Linked DNA regions of Struthio camelus. The protein of the gene in region 1 binds, or shares a complex with, the protein of each later gene. Links are inferred from orthologs where the notes say so. Each region holds a gene or a part of one and is shown on either strand. Other genes may lie near its edges.

Evidence for each region.
Region 2: METTL3 (region 1) and WTAP share a complex: the UniProt entries of both Homo sapiens proteins name them as parts of the WMM complex. The link is inferred for Struthio camelus from reciprocal best matches to the Homo sapiens genes METTL3 and WTAP.

Annotation. Positions count from the first base shown.
Region 1 is NC_090970.1:83,333-93,140, forward strand, and holds the start of METTL3 (N6-adenosine-methyltransferase catalytic subunit), read right to left. Parts: upstream 4,006-9,808; 5' UTR 3,936-4,005; coding exon 3,842-3,935; intron 1,694-3,841; coding exon 1,431-1,693; intron 1,343-1,430; coding exon 998-1,342; intron 287-997; coding exon 111-286; intron 1-110. Other genes in the region: SALL2 (sal-like protein 2), read right to left, coding at 4,685-4,951, 6,201-8,005. UniProt on the Homo sapiens protein: The METTL3-METTL14 heterodimer forms a N6-methyltransferase complex that methylates adenosine residues at the N(6) position of some RNAs and regulates various processes such as the circadian clock, differentiation of embryonic and hematopoietic stem cells, cortical neurogenesis, response to DNA damage, differentiation of T-cells and primary miRNA processing.
Region 2 is NC_090944.1:85,122,160-85,132,663, reverse strand, and holds the start of WTAP (pre-mRNA-splicing regulator WTAP), read left to right. Parts: upstream 1-6,043; 5' UTR 6,044-6,344; intron 6,345-6,868; exon of another isoform or gene 6,869-7,043; intron 7,044-10,197; 5' UTR 10,198-10,205; coding exon 10,206-10,235; intron 10,236-10,321; coding exon 10,322-10,377; intron 10,378-10,504. UniProt on the Homo sapiens protein: Associated component of the WMM complex, a complex that mediates N6-methyladenosine (m6A) methylation of RNAs, a modification that plays a role in the efficiency of mRNA splicing and RNA processing.

The DNA of each region.
Region 1 (9,808 bases):
CTGGCGGCGGCGAGGAGGGAAGCAACCCCCAAAAAAATAAAGGCGCGGAGGCGGGACGAGGCTGGAAACGGGGAAGGAAAGGAGGAAAAAGGAAGGAAGGAAGGACGCACCGGAAATGGAGCTTGCGGCAGGGCCGCTCGGCGTCGGTGGCCTTCATGCACTCCTCCTTGGTGCCGTAGTCGCAGAACTCCTGCACCTGGGCCCGGCCCCGCGAGCGAAACTTCTCCACGATGGACTGCTCCTTGGCCGTGGTGGTGTTGAGCAGCTCCAGGATCTCCTGGCTCACCTGGGGAGAGCGGGGCAAACGCCCGGGCCGAAACCCTTCGGCGGGGGCGAGGGCGGGCGCCGGGCGCCTTTCGGGGCACGAAGGCGAACGCCGGGCGCCTTTCGGGGGGAAAAAAGCGAACATTGGGTGCCTTTCGGGGGGGAAAAAGCGAGCGCTGGGCGCCTTTTCGGGCACGAAGGTGAACGCCGGGCGCCTTTTGGGGGGAAAAAGCGAGCACCAGGTGCCTTTCGGGGCACAAAGACAAATGCCAGGTGCCTTTTAGGGGGAAAAAGTGAAAGCCAGGAGCCTTTTTGTGGGGGAAAAAGGAGCGCCAGGCGCCTTTTCGGGCACGAAGGCGAAAGCCGGGCACCTTTTGGGGGGAAAAAGCGAACATCGGGCGCCTTTTGAGGCACGAAGGCGAAAGCCAGGTGCCTTTCAGGGGGAAAAAGTGAAAGCCAGGAGCCTTTCGGGGCACAAAGGTAAAAGCTGGGTGCCTTTTGGGGGGAAAAGCGAGCACCAGGTTCCTTTTGCAGCATGAAGGCGAAAGCCAGGCACCTTTTGGGGGGGGGAAAGCGAGCGCTGGGTGCTTTTTCGGGGCGAAAAGTGAGCACCGGGCGCCTTTTAGGGGGAAAAAGCGAAAGCCAGGAGCCTTTCGGGGCACAAAGGTGAACACCAGGTGCCTCTTGGGGGGGAAAAGCGAGCGCCGGGTGCGATTTGGGGGGGCGCCGCTACCTTCTTGCTCTGCTGCTCCTTGGTGGACTGCTGGCTGAGCAAGCTCTCGATCTCCCGGTCGACGTCGGAGGCCTGCTTGCGCCACTTCTTAGCCGGTTCCTTGCCGGTTTCGGCGGCGGGGGCGGCGGGGGCGGCGGAGCCGTCGGCGGCGTCGGCTTGGGGCCGCCGCTTGCGTTCGGCCACGGCGCCGGTCATGGCCGAGAGCTTGGCGTGGTCGGCGTAGGTGACGAGGGTGGGTTGAGCGGCTTCCTCGTGCAGCAGCCCGCGGCGCACCTCGATGAGCTCCTGGGCGGCGAATTTCTGCAGCAGGCTCTCCACGCTGCGCTGCGCGGCCGGCGCGTCGGGCTGCGGGGCGAGACAGAGCGGGCGTTGAGAGCGGCGGCGGCGGCGGGAAATCCGGCAAGGGGGCCGGAGGAGGAGGAGGCGGCCGTACCGTGGCGATGGCGCGGCAGATGGCCAGCGCGTCGGTGGGCAGCGGCAGCGCCAGGTCGGCCAGGTGCCGCAGCAGCCGCCGCTCCAGCGCCGGGTCGGTGGTCAGCTCGGCCGCTCCGCCGCCGCCGGCCGCCGCTCCTGCTCCTCCTCCTCCTCCGCCGGCCGCTCCTCCGACACCTCCGGCCGCCGCCGCCGCGGGGGCGACGGGGGCCGGGCTGGCGCTGCGGGACGGAGGGGCCAGCGCCAGCTCCGGGTGACGGGGGTCTGGGGGCCGAGGGGGGTCGGGATCGGAGGGACGAGGCTCCTTCCTCCTCCTCCCACCCCCCCCTCCACCGCCCTGGCACCCTCTGACCCCTCCTGACGTCCCTTGACCCCCTCCTGACGCCCCTTGACCCCCTCCCGATGCCCTCTGACCCCTCCCGACACCCCCTGACCTCCTCCTGGTGCCCCTGGACCCCCTCCCGATGCCCTCTGACCCCTCCCGACACCCCCTGACCTCCTCCTGGTGCCCCTGACCCCTCCCGATGCCCCTTGACCACCTCCCGATGCCCTCTGACCCCCTCCCGATGCCCTCTGACCCCCTCCCGATGCCCTCTGACCCCTCCCGATGCCCTCTGACCCCCTCCTGGCACCCTCTGACCCCTCCCGACACCCCCTGACCTCCTCCTGGTGCCCCTTGACCCCCTCCCGATGCCCTCTGACCCCCTCCTGATGCCCTCTGACCCCCTCCTGATGCCCCTTGACCCCTCCCGACGCCCCCTGACCCCCTCCCGACGCCCTCTGACCCCTCCCGACGCCCCTGGACCCCTCCCGACGCCCCCTGACCCCCTCCCGACGCCCCCTGACCCCCTCCCGACGCCCCCTGACCCCTCCTGATGCCCCCTGACCCCCTCCCGACGCCCCCTGACCCCTCCTGATGCCCCCTGACCCCCTCCTGGTGCCCTCTGACCCCCTCCCAGCACCCTCTGACCCCCTCCTGATGCCCCTTGACCCTTCCCAACACTCCTTGACCCCTCCTGGTGCCCCTGGACCCCCTCCTGGTGCCCCTGGACCCCCTCCTGACGCCCCCTGACCCCTCCCGACGCCCCCTGACCCCTCCTGGTGCCCCTGGACCCCCTCCCGACGCCCCCTGACCCCCTCCCGACGCCCCCTGACCCCCTCCTGGTGCCCTCTGACCCCCTCCCGGCACCCTCTGACCCCCTCCTGATGCCCCTTGACCCTTCCCAACACTCCTTGACCCCTCCTGGTGCCCCTGGACCCCCTCCTGGTGCCCCTGGACCCCCTCCCGACGCCCTCTGACCCCTCCCGACGCCCCCGACCCCTCCTGGTGTCCCTGGACCCCCTCCCGACGCCCCCTGACCCCTCCCGACGCCCCCTGACCCCCTCCCGACGCCCCTTGACCCCTCCCGATGCCCCTTGACCCCCTCCCGATGCACCCTGACCCCTCCCGATGCACCCTGACCCCTCCCGACGCCCTCTGACCCCTCCCGACGCCCCTTGACCCCTCCCGACGCCCCCTGACCCCCTCCTGGTGCCCTCTGACCCCCTCCTGACGCCCCTTGACCCTTCCCAACACCCCTTGACCCCTCCTGATGCCCCCTGACCCCCTCCTGGTGCCCCTGGACCCCCTCCTGGTGCCCTCTGATCCCCTCCCGACGCCCCCTGACCCCCTCCTGGTACCCTCTGACCCCCTCCCGGCACCCTCTGACCCCCTCCCGACGCCCCTTGACCCCTCCTGATGCCCCCTGACCCCCTCCTGGTGCCCTCTGACCCCCTCCCGGCACCCTCTGACCCCCTCCTGATGCCCCTTGACCCTTCCCAACACTCCTTGACCCCTCCTGGTGCCCCTGGACCCCCTCCTGGTGCCCCTGGACCCCCTCCCGACGCCCTCTGACCCCTCCCGACGCCCCCGACCCCTCCTGGTGCCCCTGGACCCCCTCCCGACACCCCCTGACCCCTCCCGACGCCCCCTGACCCCTCCCGACGCCCCCTGACCCCCTCCCGACGCCCTCTGACCCCTCCCGATGCCCCTTGACCCCCTCCCGATGCACCCTGACCCCTCCCGATGCACCCTGACCCCTCCCGACGCCCTCTGACCCCTCCCGACGCCCCTTGACCCCTCCCGACGCCCCCTGACCCCCTCCTGGTGCCCTCTGACCCCCTCCTGACGCCCCTTGACCCTTCCCAACACCCCTTGACCCTTCCCAACACCCCTTGACCCCTCCTGGTGCCCCTGGACCCCCTCCTGGTGCCCTCTGATCCCCTCCCGACGCCCCCTGACCCCTCCTGGCACCCCTTGACCCCTCCCGATGCCCCTTGACCCCCTCGCGATGCCCCTTGACCCCTCCCGACGCCCCCTGACCCCTCCCGACGCCCTCTGACCCCCTCCCGGCGCCCCCCCCCGCCCCGCACCGAGCGGGTCCTGCTTCCGCCGCCGCTGGAGCCGCTCCCGCAGCGAGTCCAGCTGCTTCTTGTGCGCCTGGATCGAGCTCCACGTGTCCGACATGGCGCTGGCGGCTGCGGCTGCGGCTCCGCTCCCGGCCCCGGCCCCGGCCCCGCTCCCGGCCCCGCCGCCGCCGCCGCCGAACCGGAAGCGGGGCGGAGCGGCGCCCGCTAGGCCGCGCCCTGAAGCCGCGCGCGCCATCTTGGCTGCGGGCACGGCGGCCAGCAGAACGCCGCGCGGGAGGAGGGAGGGGGGGGGACGGTGTCCTAGCAACGGGCGGCGCCGCCCTCACGGCGAAGCCGCGCGCGCCATCTTGGCTGCGGGCACGGCGGCCAGCAGAACGCCGCGCGGGAGGAGGGAGGAGGGGGGACGGTGTCCTAGCAACGGGCGGCGCCGCCCTCACGGCGAAGCCGCGCGCGCCATCTTGGCCGCGGGCGCGCGCGGCCATCTTAGCGGCGGGCGGCGCCCTGGCAACGGCGCGCGGCCATCTTTGTTGCGGGCGGGGCCGCCATCTTACGCCCTGGCAGAGGGCGTTGTTGGGGGGGGGGAGAGGCGGGAGAACCCCCCCCACCCCCCAAAATAACCCATTTTCCTCCCCAAAATACGACGCCGCCTCCTCCCTCCCAAAACAAGAAGCGGAGACGAGTCACCGTGAAGGGCTTTAATGGAGGAGGCTACGCTGGGGTTGGGGGAAAGGAGGAAGACGGAGGAGGGGGGTCAAGATGGCGGCGAGGGGAGGCGAAGGGGGCGCCCTGTGCGCTACAGTCGAGGCGAAACTAGGATTAAAAGATAAAAAGGGACCCGTCGAGGCGCTACTTCTCGGCCGGGCCTTGCCCCGAAGCCGCCGGGGGGTCGGCGGGGGCCGGGGGGCCGGGTCGGGGGCGGCCGGCGGCCGCGAAGGCGCCGTACTGGCTCCAGAAGGAGAGGGCCGGCGGCGGCGGCGGCGGCGGCGGTGGTGGCGGTGGGGGCAGCTCCGGCGGTTTGCCGGCCCCACGGCTCGGCGGCGTCGGCGGCGGTTGGGGGCCCGGCGCGGGGCGGGGGGCGCGGGCCGCCGGGCCGCCGCTCCAGCATGGCGGCACCTGTTGGGGGGGCGGTGGGGGTTGGGGGGGGAAGAGCAAGGAGGCGAGGGAGGAGGTGGTTGGGGGGAAGAAGCGGCGTCCCGAACGTCCCCGTCGGACTGGGAACGTCCCCGTGGACCGAGAACGTCCCCATGGACCACCAGTGTCCCTAGAGAGGGACCATGAGCGTCCCCATGGACCGGGAATGTCCCCATGGACCAGGAACGTCCCTAGAGAGGGACCACGAGCGTCCCCATGGACCAGGAACGTCCCCATGGACCACCAGCGTCCCTAGAGAGGGACCATGAGTGTTCCCATGGACCGAGAACATCCCCATGGACCACCAGCGTCCCTAGAGAGGGACCATGAGCGTCCCCATGGACCAGGAACGTCTCTATGGACCAGGAACGTCCCTAGAGAGGGACCATGAGTGTCCCCATGGACTAGGAACGTCCCCATGGACCACCAGCGTCCCTAGAGAGGGACCATGAGCGTCCCCATGGACCAGGAATGTCTCTATGGACCAGGAGCATCCCTAGAGAGGGACCATGAGTGTTCCCATGGACCGGGAAGGTCCCCATGGACCACCAGCATCCCTAGAGAGGGACCATGGGCATTCCTATGGACCGGGAACATCCTTAGGGACTAGGAAAGTCCCCATGGTCTGGGACCATCCCTATGGACCAGGAAGGTCCCCATGGACCACCAGCATCCCTAGGGATGAGTGTCCCCAGGGACCGGGAACGTCCCCATGGACTGGGAACATCCCTATGGACCGGGAAGGTCCCCATGGACCACCAGCATCCCTAGGGATGAGCGTCCCCAGGGACCGGGAACATCCCCATGGACTGGGAACATCCCTATGGACTGGGAAGGTCCCCATGGACCACCAGCATCCCTAGGGATGAGTGTCCCCAGGGACCGGGAACGTCCCCATGGACTGGGAACATCCCTATGGACCGGGAAGGTCCCTATGGACCACCAGCATCCCTAGGGAGGGACCATGAGCGTCCCTATGGATGGGGAATGTCCCTATGGACCACCAGCATCCCTAGGGAGGGACCATGAGCGTCCCTATGGACCAGGAACGTCCTTAGGGACCACCAGCATCCCTATGAAGGGACCAGGAACGTTCCTATGGACCAGAAGTGTCCCTAGGGAGCACCAGCATCCCTACAGAGGGACCAGGAGTGTCCTTAGGGCCTGGGAACGTCCCTAGGGAGCACCAGCATCCCTACGGAGGGACTGGGAGCGTCCCTAGGGACCTTACCTGCCCCTGCTTCTTCGGCGCGGCCCCGTCAGGAGCGCCGTCCTCGGCCGGGCTGGCCCGCGGCTCCTCCGGCTGCGCGTCGTCCCCTCGGCGCGCTCCACCTTCCTCCACCTGGGGCTCGCCGGCTCCCTCCGAGGCCGGCGGCGCAGGGCTGCCGGCCGGGCGGCGAGGAGCGCCGCCTTCCTCATCCTCCTCCTCATCCTCCTCCTCTTCCACCACCACCTCCTCCTCCTCGTCCTCCTCGTCCTCCTCCTCCTCGGCTGGGGCCTTCTCGGAGTCATCCTCCTCGGAGGCGTCCTCCTCAGAGGCGTCCTCCTCCTCGTCTTCGTCGTCGTCGTCGTCGTCCTCCTCCTCCTCCTCGTCCTCGGAGGACTCGTGGGGCCGGCGGGCGGGCGGCGGGCCACCGTTGGCCACCTGCCCGCCCAGGTGCAGGCGGACGTGGTGCTGGAGGCCCGGGCCGTCGGCCAACTTCTTCTGGCAGATGGGGCAGGAGGTTCGGGGCCGAGCGGCGGCGGCGGCGGTGGGGCTGGCTCGGTGGGCGGCCGAATGAGCCCGCAAGTTGCCGCGGGTGGAGAAAGCCCGGCCGCAGGCCTGGCAGCGGAAAGGGCGCTCGGCGCTGGCGCCGCTGGCGTGCTGCCCTGCGTGCAGCCGCAGCGCCCGGGGGCAGCTCAGCACCCGGCGGCACACGGGGCACTGGTTGGAAGAGGACGGCGGCGGCGGCGGCGGCGGTGGCGGCGGTGGCGGCGGCGGGGCGGCCGCTGCCGCCGTCCCCGGCGTCTCTGTTGGGTCGATCTTCTCCACCAGCTGCTGCAGCTTGGAGGTCTCGGAGGGGGCCGGCGGCTCCAGGAGGAAGGGGAAGGCGGCGGCGTGGTGGTGGTGGTGGTGGTGGTGGTGGTGGTGGTGGTGGCCGCCCTTGAAGTGGTTGGCCAAGACGGCCCAGGCGGGCAGCTTGCCCGGCGGCGTGTTTTCGTCCCCCTTGGCCTTCTCCTCGGCCGCCTTCAGCAGCACCAGCTTGTTGAAGCCCGGCAAGGGTTGGGGCAGCAGCGGGAGGCCCTCGGTGGCCACCACCGGTGGTGGCGGCGGCACCGGTGGCGGCACCGGTGGTGGCACCGGCGGCGGCTTCTCGCCGGCTTCGCTCTTCTCCGGCGGCGGGCAGCGAGGTCCGGCCAGGAGGTAGTCGAGATGCTCGGGCACGGGGTGGGGGTTCATCTGGACGTGGGGGTAGCGGTCGCGGTGGCGGTGGAAGTGCACCTTGAGGTTGCCGCGGGTGGTGAAGCGGTTGCCGCAGACGTTGCACTTGTAGGGCCGCTCGCCGGTGTGGGAGCGCAGGTGGATCTGCAGGGCGCTGTCGCTGCCGAAGGCCTTGGCGCAGAAGCGGCACCGGTGCCGCCCGCCCGGCTTCTCCTCCGCCTCGTTCTTGGGACGCAACAAACCCGGGAAGGCCGGCGGCGGCGGCGGCGGCGCCGGGAAGGCGGCCGCTTCGGCTTTGGCCCCCCACGGGCGGTAGAGGTGGAAGAAGGTGGGTTTAGGTGGGGGGCCGGACGCCGGGGCCCGCGGCGGTTGGGTTTTGGCGGCGGCGAAGAGGGTCGGGGTGGCCCGAGGTGGGGCCGGGGCGCCCAACAGCAGGACTTGGCGGCAGATCTCCTCCGTGAGCTGCAGCTGGTGGAGCTGCCGCTGCTGCAGCACCCGCAGCTCCTCCAGCAGCAGCGGGATGTCCAGCGGCGGCGGCGGCGGCTCCGCGTCCATCGGCGGCGGCTCCGAGGAGGAGGAGGAGGAGGAAGGAGCGGCGGTGGCGGCCGGGGAACCTGCAGGGCGAGAGGGGCCGGGATTTGGCGCCGTCCCACCCCGAAATGCACTGGCCCCACAGAGGGGGATCAGGGGAGGGTTTTCCTGCCCCGGATGGATGGATGGATGGATGGATGGATGGATGGATGGATGCACCATGGGGTGGGCAAGGACACAGACACGGATGGATGGACGGATGGATGGATGGATGGATGCACCATGGGGTGGGCAAGGACACAGACACGGATGGATGGACGGACGGAGAGACCCGGAGACGGAGGGGAGGAGGGACAGATGTGGGGACGGAGGGACGGATGGACGGACACATGGATGGAAGGACGGACACGGGGATGGAGGGACGGATGGACGGACACATGGACGGATGGATGGACATGGGGACAGAGGGATGGACGGACGGGGGATGGAGGGATGGATGGACGGACACATGGACGGATGGACGGACACATGGATGGATGGACGGACACGGGGATGGAGGGATGGATGGACACAGGGATGGAGGGATGGATGGACGGACACGGGGATGGATGGACAGACACGGGGACAGAGGGATGGATGGACACGGGGATGGAGGGACGGATGGACGGACATGGGGACAGAGGGATGGATGGACACGGGGATGAAGGGATGGATGGACACGGAGATGGAGGGACGGATGGATGGACACATGGACGGATGGACAGACATGGGGACAGAGGGATGGATGGATATGCAGATGGAGGGATGGACACAGGGACGGATGGACAGACGTGGCAACGGAGGGATGGACAGACGGACACAGGGATGGAGGGATGGATGGATGGACACAGAGACGGAGGGAGGGATGAATGGGCACGGGGATGGAGGGATGGATGGACGGACACATGAATGGATGGATGGACACGGGGACAGAGGGATGGATGGACACGGGGATGGAGGGATGGATGGACGGACACATGAATGGATGGATGGACACGGGGACAGAGGGATGGATGGACACGGGGATGGAGGGATGGATGGACACAGGGATGGAGGGAGGGATGGACAGACACGGGGACAGAGGGATGGATGGATATGCAGATGGAGGGATGGCCACAGGGACGGATGGACAAATGTGGCGACGGAGGGATGGACGGACAGACACAGGGATGGAGGGACGGATGGATGGACACGGAGACGGAGGGAGGGATGGATGGACACGGGGATGGAGGGATGGATGCAGGGACTTGAAGGATGGACAGACCCGGAGGCGGAGGAGAGGACGGAGAGACGTGGGGACGGAGGGACGGAGGGATGCGGGGACCCGAAGGACAGACGGACGCGGGGACGGAGGAGAGGATGGACAGACGTGGGGACGGAGGGATGCGGGGACCCGAAGGACAGACGGACGCGGGGACGGAGGAGAGGATGGACAGACGTGGGGACGGAGGGATGCGGGGACCCGAAGGACAGACGGACGCGGGGACGGAAGAGAGGATGGACAGACGTGGGGACAGAGGGACGGAGGGATGCAGGGACCCGAAGGACAGACGGACGCGGGGACGGAGGAGAGGCCGGACAGACGTGGGGACGGAGGGACGGATGGATGCGGGGACCCGAAGGACGGACGGACGGACGCGGGGACGGAGGGCCGGATGCCGGCAGGCAGGGACGGATGCAGGGCCCCGAAGGACGGACGGACGGACGGAGAGACCCGGAGGGCAGGACGGACGGACGCGGGGACGGAGGGCCCGATGCCGGCAGGGCCGGGCGCACGGAGAGGCCCGAAGGACGGACGGACGGACGGACGGACGGATGGAGCCGGGTCGCCGGGATGGAGCCCCCGT
Region 2 (10,504 bases), on another chromosome or scaffold:
AAAAACTCTGAATTTTACTACTTTGCTATATAATAGGAAGGTTTCTAGTCTTCGAAGTCTCATACAGAGGTAATGTTATTAATATTTGCATTGTTGGGATCCTTACCGGAAAAATGCATGTGTACCTAAATGCGATTCCTCGTGTAAGGAGATGCAGCTTCTCTTCCTCCGCACTGATACCATCTTGTATCCTTCCATGCTGTGCAGTGAGAAGAAGTTGGTGCACTCCTCTTGTCACTAAGTGAAGGCATAATGTTACTCGCTTCCTCATCAGTGTTGCCAGTTGATCTGCACCTGAACAGGAACGCTCACAGTACTAAAATAGAAAAAAATACCAGCGTGTTTCCAGGATTAAGACCCAAGTTTGAAGCAGAAATGAGCCTTCTTCATATTTTAGGGAATTGGCCCTTTGCAGTAGAGTATAGTGTTTGTGATACTTAAATTTATGTCAAATAATTTGCCCACATTTGGGGCAGAGTCTGTCACTAACAGTGAGAAGAATATCCTCCTTTTCTGAATTTCTCTTGGTTTTTGTTCTTTGCCAGCTGCATGGGACACACTTGATACTTGCAGCAGTGTACATTGAAACCAATGTCTTCAAAGGCAAGAGTCAACCTTTGTCACAGTAAGTCATATTATATAAAACACCTCGTAATACTTGATACTTCTGGGGTCCATAGTTTTCATCGGAGTGCCTTATTCACAGATTTAGGACTTGAAGATACATTCGTCCTTTAGATAACATGTTCTGTGCTTGGTCTGTGTTTGAAATTATTTTTATCCTTGACAGGCAATGGGAATTGTCCTGTTGCTGGTTTAAGCAAAAAGCAGTTTTGTGGGTTTTGACAAAGGGAAAGCAAACCCACCCTTTTACTCCTTAAAAAAATTACATCAGCTACAGAAATAAATAAGCTTGACAGCTGGCATCATTTCACGAGAATCTGAGCCTTTTGTTCTTTTGGGAAAGATCTAAAGAAGCTTTTTCCCTTCTCCACATACTTCACCTAATTTGGCATCATATCAGGATGTATATGGCATTCTGGCTTGCGGAGCACCTTTAGTACCTTAAGGCCTAGAAGGGTCTCAGGTCTAGAAAGACCATTCATTCTTTTTCCTGGCTTTTTCACTAATGGGCTGACATCCAGCTGTCTACAGATAGGATCGGTACATAAGATACACCCCAAAGAACAAACTGTTTTCGTAGGGGGAGGAGATTTCCATTTTCTAAAATTCCTAAAGCCCAAATGCTGACCTGATTGGATGACTCCCTGGAAGTAAAGTTCCTGATAGGCAAAAATGTCCTTGGCTGTCTTAAGAGCAGTCTGTGTCTTCCTTGAATCTATTTTTGTCAGGAAAACTCATAATTTAAGAAGTGTTTAATAAAAATTGCTGACTTCCCCTTAGATAGAAAATGTTTGCATACTAAAACTGTTATGGCTTTATTGTGACTTAAGAAATAGGCATAGTAAACCCCTGTTTCTATATGCATATATGCACTTCAAATGCAAGCTTACGGTGTTTATCCTGTATCTCCAAAATGAGTTTAACTCAAATCACCAGTTGACTGTAATTGAATTTTAATTGATTGTATGTAATTCAGGGTGTGTCTCCAGGAAAGCCTCTGAAATGTACACATTGCTATAGTCAGCCCTCTTAACAGGAAAAAACTTCCTGAGCGTTATATTCTACATCACAATTCACAGGTGTACAGTGTCATCACATGTGCTGCAGTCTTGGAGACAAGTGTTGTAAATCTATTTGGCTCTGTAGATAGTAGAGTTGCACATGATTATACTATTGATTTTATATGCTCTCATGAGCACCTATGTATATTTATAAACAGTTATCGGTAATTAAAAGAGGAGTCTTTATGGGAGCTGTCTGAAGAAAATCTAGCTACCTCTCGCTTTAGAAATGGAACAAAAATGTGCAATAATTCCAGTAAGATGCTTAGAAATGTCTTGTCAGATGATGTAAAGAAAGCCTGCAGCCTACTAGTTAGAAAGCTTTTTTTTTTTTTTTTTGGAGAGCGAGAGTGCATTGAACTTAAAATTGGGCTTGTTGCTGTCCAGATTTTCACGTGGTAGTTACCCGAAGGATATCTCTGTCATTTTTTTCAGTACAGCAATCCATATATTTTATTTGCCCACCGCATCTGTAGGCTACAGCAGCCTTTTCCAGTGCCCTTGGAGCTCAGTTTCTGTTCCAGTTGCAAACCACTATTTTGCCTTCCTCCATCTTACATCCGTACAAGTCAAGGACTATCTTTTCAGAAGCTGATTAGCCTTTAGTTCCTTTTATTTTAAGATCTTTTAAAATGCTAACAAATGTTCATAACAGTACTCCAAACATTTTTTTCTTCTGAACAGTTTTTTATCTGACTTTATTTCTTACTAATATCCTAGCTTTTCTGATCTGCAGACTGTAGTTGTCATCTCTTACAATTTATTTTATGTGACTTTTATGCTATTAAATATTTGTCCTTAAAGCCCTGTTTCCCATGACATAGTATTTCATCCACATCTCAACTTTGAATCATGAAAATGCAGGGGAAAAATAGCCCTTATGATCCTGTAGAAAAGCTTGGAGGCCTGAAACAAATTTGTCTTTAAGGCTCACACAGCCTAAGACAGTAGAGAGTATTAAAATTCAGTGCGTTTGTATTTCAAACAGTTGTGTGATTTCTAATCTGGCTTGAGGGTTTAGAGATATAATGCATGAATTCTGGTTACTTCACGCTAGTGGTACTGTCTTGATCTTGCTTGGGTTGGGACCATCCTGTTGTAAAGCCGTCCGAGATAAGCAATGGCAAGAAAACTGTGCTGCCTGCAAAGCTCAGCAGCTCCTCCTCTGACTCCTTACAAAGCTTCATAGCCACAACACATACCAAGTGCTTCAGTTAAAACAGGGCTTCAGCTCTGCCAACTGTGTGTCAGCTGCTGGCTACCCAAAGAACTTGGGACATCCAGTAAGCACAGGAGAGGGCAGTATTAGTCCAAGTGAAGGCATGAAGAGGACAAACTATTAACAGAAAAAATAAGCCAAAATGTAATAAAGAGCATTTTTTCCGAGTTTAAAACTATTCTGTCACTGACATCTTTTTTTTTTTTTTTTTTTTTTTTTTTACATTTATGGAGTGTTTTAATGTTTTGTTCCAACTGGCTGTAACATGAAACAAGAAATCAAGAACAGAGCAGGTAAGAACCATTACAAGCCACAAGCCTTCCAGCAGGAAAATAATTAGGTTAGTGAACTACATGTTGTCTTTTGAAGAACCTAAAACCAGATGAGACAATATGAACAGATCTGAAACAAAACCAAAAACTCTATTGTTATTAGTATCTGCTGAGCAGGCCCTAGACTTGAAAACAGAGCTAGAAAAAGTGTGGAAAGTTATGGAGGAATACAGGGGTGTTACTCTAATGCCAAATGGCATTCTTGTCAATACAGTTTTCTTCTTTCTTTAATCCAATTTTATATCAAAGTCAAATGTAGAAGAGAGTCCGCAACAATAAAATACAATTCCTATGATCTCTTCTTAAACAATAGGAGATACAAATACAATATGCTTTGTGGAAGTACAGTGGTTATTTTCATCTTAAATGCATTTATTTCTCGTGTTTAATTTATGGAAAGCTGTATTGTCCAGGTGTTCATAATCTGGTTCATATTTCAACTTAGCAGTATATATATTTGTTGTGCTATTTTCTGAATTCTGTTTTTTCACTGGTTTTCGGACAGATATGCTTATTTGCCCTCTCATTTGTGGACAAGCAATGCTATTAAGAGCTGTGTTAGTACCTATTATTTGAAAAGGAAATTTATTCCGGTTATTATATTGTCACATAACCCAATGCAGGTGCTTATTAAGGTGTTTATTCTAGGAGCATTAAAATATACCAACTGAGACAGTTCTCATTGTGTTAGGTGCCGTGCAAGCAGAATAAGAGACTATTTCAGTGAAATGTGCTCTATCAGGGTACTAGTTAACAATTTGCTGTTTGTATTTTCTCACATAAAAATTTTAAGTATAGCTGATAATACACATGGTAATTCTAAGGGCTAGAAGGAAGGCCAGAATATAAAGCTCTACAGTCTGTATCCACTTATCTCTTGGTGTTTCTGGCTCTGTGCCGTTTGCTCAGCTAGTACGTTTCCCATAAATGTAATCTACACTTGTAAAACTAAATTTAAAATAACTAAGTGCTGACAAGGGAAAAGAATGCAGGATTATTTTCTACATGCTTATGACCTGGAAGAACAACAGGTACCAATGGTAAGTGTAAGGTCCGGTATCTCTTGACCCATCAGAGTTAGAACTTTACATATACTGTTAAAGATTAAAGACTGAAGAGAGATCCATTTTCCCAACATAACAAAAAAGTAGCTAAACTCTAGCCTTGGCAAATGTTGGGAGATCTTGTGTTCAATTTGTGATACCTAGAAAACATTAGGTAATTTATATACAGAATAGAAATGGCCTTAAGTACATCTCTGTATCTCTTTTGTATGTAAAAAAGTTTCCGTTTCTTGTCCTACTTGGCTTACGTGCATTTTAGTGTTGTAATGTTTACATTTGTGCATGAGCAAATAAAATCAATTTTCTACATTAATGTTCGCAGTAAGGACTATTCTGGTATATTGACACCTCTCCCATGCTGCTGTCTCTTGAGATGGCTTTATCTGTTAATTAGTGTCTTTAGTGCTTAAAAGAAGTACCTGCAAGGTGTCTGTGTACAAAAAAACAGTGAAAGGAGCAGTGAACCTCAAACTGTAATCACAGTGCGTATTTTTCACGTAAAAAAATAAGACTTCAGAGGAACGTACTCAAGCCCTTTTGATTTCACTCTCCTTGTGGTAATTAGTCACATCATTCTCTTTTTTTAATTTCAAGCGACAACAGTCAGGTCACTTAAAGCTTGGTCAGGGTGTTAATTTTTTTTTCAGCGAGAGCTTTTTTTTTTTTTTTAAATCTGTGCTGTGTGGATCTGCACCTCTGTACACTGGAATCTCTTGTGCAGTGAATATATTATTCTTGCTATCAGTAGCACAGTCAAGAAGACAGATTTCTGGAGTGTCTTCCACAGAAATTCAGTTGCAATCAATCACATCGTGCAACCCAGCTGACACTAATTTAGCCTACAGAAGCTTTATTACTTTGTTGGCAAGAAGGGAACACATCTAATTGTGCTAATAGCATTGCTTGAGAAATCATGGATAACAAGACAGAAATTCGATTTTAAAGTAGTTGTTCAGTGCTAGACTACAATTAAGGGCAATCAGTATGTTTCATTCTATTTTTTCCCCAAATGTTAAAGCTAAAGTTTAGCGTATTTGGAAACAGCTAGGATTTTTTTTCCCTCATTTGCTGACTGATGACGTTAATGTGCGCTTATGCCACTGAGGTGAATTTAACTGAGTGAAAATTTTCATTGCACAACGTGAAAGACAGGCAGAAAGCCGCGGAACTAATGCTGACAAGCAAGGTGCCCATCTTGCAGACTAACCACTGGCTGTGCCTGGCTGTGCGCAATCCTCGTTTTCAAAAGCCGCTGTCTTTTCAGCGTGTCTTCCAAGAAGGCGCCAAGCAGCGCTCCCACGGCGCCGCCCAGAAGGAGCAGCCCCGCGGCAGCAGCTCCCTGTCGGCCCTGGCGGACGCCCTGTTTCACGCGTGAGGCCGCGGGGAGGCGCTCGGTGCCGCTGCCCTCAGCCCTCGCGCCGGCAGGCGGCCGCTTCCCCCCGCCTGGCCCGCCCCCAGGATGCCCCGCGGCTCGCTACCCGCCGCGCGCCCGCCCCTCCCTTCTGCCCGTTTAACTGACAGGCTTTAAATCAACATTCAAATAAGGAGGGAAACCGCGGCGCGGGGACGGAAGGAGCATCTCAGTGCTGCCTGCCGCTGGGGAGAGAGCGGGGGACGAGCTCCCCAAAGGAGGCGCGGCGGCGGCCGGCAGAGCCGGACCGGGCGGCTCGGCCACCCCGCGGCCCGGGCCACTGCGGCGGCTCGCGCCGCGCGGGGCTGCGCGCGCAGCGCCGCCGCCTGAACGTGGGGGGCGGCCGGTGGGCGGGGCGGCTGGGCGCTCATTTCCTCCTTGGGCGCCATTTTGTAGCGCAGAGAATCCGCAAATAAAGAGCGGGCGGGAGCGGTACGTGAGGAAGCGCGGGGTGGGGGCACGCGGTGGTGACCCCGGCTCCGGAGCAGTGGTCCCGGTAGAGCCGGTTGCGGGCGCGCGCGCGGAGGTGGCGGCAGGTGTGAGGAGGTGGCGGCGCTTCGCCCCCGATGTGACGGGTGCGGCCCAGGCAACCAGTGTGCTGGGAGAGTGAGGCCTCCGCACCGCGGGCGGGAGGTGAGTGACCGCGCGAGCGCTCCTCCCCTCGGCCGGGCTCCCCCTTTCTCTGGTACCGCCGCCCTTCTCCCCCGCAGGAGGTAGCGGGGCCCTCGGCAGGGACCGAGCACCTCGCGGTCCCGGGGCGACCAACCCCGGCGGCTCCATCTCTCACCCCAAGTGGGGGGAGGAGCGGAAGCACTTAGAGCCATTTTGTGCGAGGCCGCGAGCCCGGCCTGGCTGCTCCGCTGAGATCCTCCTCCCCTAGCCTTCGGCTCCGCCACGCCCGGGCGCCGCCGCCGCCGCCGGGGCTCCCTCTGGGCGAGGGAGACGCGTTTTTTCTTTTTTTCCTTTTTTCTTTTTTTCCCCCCCTTCAGTTGAAGCTGAACGAGGACGGCCCGACGGGGCGGGTAGTGCCTGCCCTGCCAGAAGGGGGGAGGGGAAGGGGGTGGCAGGGTCTGTCAAACGTCTGTGACGAGCCGTGGGGTCAGTGGCCTGCAGCTGCGCCTGGCCGGGGACTGGCGGGGTCTCCGCGCAGGAGGCGGGGCTGCGCGGCAGCGGCCCGCCGTTGGGTTGGGAGGGGGTGCGGCCGCAGGACTCGGCTACGCGAGGCTCCTGACCGCGGTCGCTGAGGCTAGCGTGGAAACTTTCATAGGCCGGCATCTTACTCTGAACCTTTTTGTTTCGGGACACTTGAAGGCCTCGAGGGCTTTTCCCACGGTATGCTTTTTCATATCGTTGAAATAACTAGGAGTTACTTCAACTGTTGCTAGTAAAGCAGCACTTGAGTTATGTCTGGTATTACTTGATTGCCTTGTCTCTTAGCTCGTAGTGCTTGTTTTAATCTTTAAACTTTATGTTTTCTAAATGTTGTAGTAAAAGTTGCACAGAAAACTACAGTTTCTGAAATTAAAACGCACTTTCCCTGTTTCAGCCCTTTCATAGTTCAATTACTTTAGAGATTACAGGAGAATTCTTTTAGTGTCTATGATGGCCCCTTTTTAAGGGTGAAACACAGGTTTATATTGCTTATTGCCAGGAACGGATGTAGAAGTTGTGGAGTTTAACAGGTATCACTGCTCTGAAATCCTGAAAGTGCCTACTGAGGATAGCACAGGCTAAATTATTCATTGTATTAATTGAGAAGTGTAATCATGATAATTCCAGTCAGAAAATGGCAGTTCATCCTATTCTTGCAAAATATTACTGAACTGCTTAGCACAAGGGTCATCTGTCTTTCAGAGTAGGCACGTGGTGAGATGCATCTCTTGCTGCACAGCACTCCACATTACTCTATTAGACTCAATGAATGAATGTTTGAGTTGTAATAATATTGTTAATGTCTGTTGCATAACTTATCTGGTAAGCACAGAAAGAACTGAAGCAAATCACTGTGACAGCTAAGTGATACAGTAAGCCTGATGTTCTGATGCTTCCAAAAACACTGAGCACAGTGATAGAAATACAACCTATAGCAATAATGAACTCTTAAGCTGTTTGTAAGTTACTGTGGGTGCCAAAAAAAAAGCTGTTGCGTAGGAGTCATGAGGTGAAACTTGCACATACAAAAAGAACATGATCACTTAGCTGTCATAGTAAGAAGTTCAGATGTGATAAACCTAGGTTTCCAAAATAATACCTTACTAAAAATTTTCAGGGTATTTTTTAGTGAACAATTCTAGTCCTACAAGTGAAAGCAGGTGACAGTAAAACAATAACTTATGTAATGCAGTGGACTTTTTATCTTCAGCATGTGCATTAAAGGATTTTATCAGATAGCAGGGAGATGGCTTTGTTTTGTAAGTGGGAACGTGTTGGGCCTAGAGGTTAGAAGGGTAGTCTGGTTTGGTGCTGCCATGAGAAAACTGGTTGTGGGAGTCTTATGCTAGGTCTGGAGACGGGCAATAAGGATGGAGCATCAGCTTTTAATTTCTTTCGGTTGCTGTTGCAGTGGCACTCAAGTGTTTAGTTTGCTGTATACTGCTGAAGGGTTCACAAGCCAAGTCTTTGGAAAATTCATCTTTTTTGATACCTGTGTGTTCCTACTGTTTTTCTGACACATGATAATATCTGTTAGGTATGATTTAATCTAAGTGTATTTCCATGGGACATTTGAAAGGCAGATCTCTCTGTTAAGGACTTGAATCCTGCTGAAATCTTCAAAACTCCTTCCAAATACTGAAGGAGTTAAGTGTCTGAAAATCTTTAAGAAAATTGTAATGGGGAAGTAGGCCATTAAATTTAGGGGGCTGTGAGCATTTCCCCATATGATCTTAGTCATCCAAAATATCAGTTTAACTTGAGTTGAGCATCATTGGTTTGTATCGATAGTCTCTAATACATTTCATATTGCATTTAGTAAAAGTATAAAAGTCTTAAGTGGGAAGCTGCATCCAGAAGTTAAAGTTCTCTCATGTGTGAGAGAGTTGATGGTGGGGGGCCCTAGACCTCTTAGAGTAGAGAATCACTGAAGTGCCTGTGTGTTATGAAGATTAGGAACAGGAAGCTGACATTGGTCATAGATGCCTGTATTGAGTGTTATTAGCAACTTTTCTGTTCGTTCTAATGTCCCCCTTTACTTTATGAAGGGCTTGGAAGCCATTTCACCTGTGCACTGTAGGTGTTTAGTTGTTATTGTAGTTTTATTTGGTATAGTGCTATATACTGAATGTTAATATAGGTTGAAGGAGCTGTTGTTCACTTGGTATGCATTTATCTTTTTGACAGTGCTGATGCCCTTAGGTTTTAAAGAACTTTAATTAGTTTATTGGGTGATTTTTTTTTTTTTTGTGAAAATACCAAGAACTTTCTGGTATTTTCACAAAAGCACCCAATAAACTAATTAAAGTTGCGTGGGGTTTCTTTCCCCTCCAGCAATCACTTTTAAACAACTTAAATGCATTGTATTTGTGAAGCTAACTGTTTACAAGTGAGGAACTGGCTACATCTGTTTTCTGGTGTATTTACATGGCAAAAATCTTTTAAGCTTACAAAAGCTCAATGTTATGTACAGCTCTTCTGTTGGAAGGCATATTGCAAAAGATGCATGGCTCCAGCAAAGCTTGCCTTTGTTTCTTTTATGATCTTTGCGGGCTCTTTTTTAATAATCATAGTAATAGAAAATGTTTTCTGTCCTTTTGAAGTAAGGAAGCAAGTCCTGTAATACAAGGAATTGGGACTAATTAACATAAGCGTAATAGGGTTGTGTTGTGCTATCAACAGACAAGAGGAGTTGTATTTGATGGTGTGCTCAAGCCATTTGTTTTTTCTTTTCCTAAAGATAACCTAAAGGGTTTTAAAATAACTGCTTGACACTTTGTTTATCAAAATCTTAAAAGTAAGAGGATAAGTAGTTGGAAGAGCTTGCTGTCTTGACATTCCCTAAATATTAGTGGTAATGTTTCCAAATCATTTGCTTTTATTTCAAAGAGATAAACACTGAAACCACTGAAATAGTGGTATAAATTACTTTCTTCAAGTCCTAATTATGCTCTGCCTTGTGTATATGTTGAAAAAATTCAGTAGTTGTAGACAGATATCAAATGTCAGTTTGATCTAAAAACAAATATAGACAAAGTTAGATGGTTTCACCTTAAATAAGGAAGAGTTGATTGTTGATATTCTTTCAGACACCAAAAGAGCACTTTGGGTAGTTTTTACAAAGGTGTCTGATGACTTTGTGTCTAGATTACAATTGCAAAGTTGTCGTAGAGTTGCTTTGTACTCTGCATTGTATGGTACCAACATTTCAGTAATCTATTATCACTAATAAATAAAAACTTAAGGAAGAAGTAAAGTGACTTGCTGCATGCTTTATGGACCCTAGTAATGGCATTAAATAAAACTCCTTTTTTTCCTCCCCTCCCCCTTTCAGAGTTCACAATGACGAATGAAGAACCTCTCCCGAAGAAGGTATGTTTAAAAATACTTACTGGATTTTTTTTTTCCCCCTGTAGTCATGACAAGCTGTTAAGTTAACTTCTCCTTTTGCTCCATAGGTTCGTCTTAGTGAAGCAGACTTTAAGGTTTTGCCTAGAGATGAGCTAATCCTAAGGTAAAGTAACAAGCAGTTTTTCCATTGCAACATTTTAGTGAATTCTTAATGGAAAACATGTAACCTCTCCACACCGCCTGTCCCCCATTGCTTATAGCATCCTTGTTCTGATAACCTGTTCCATCCT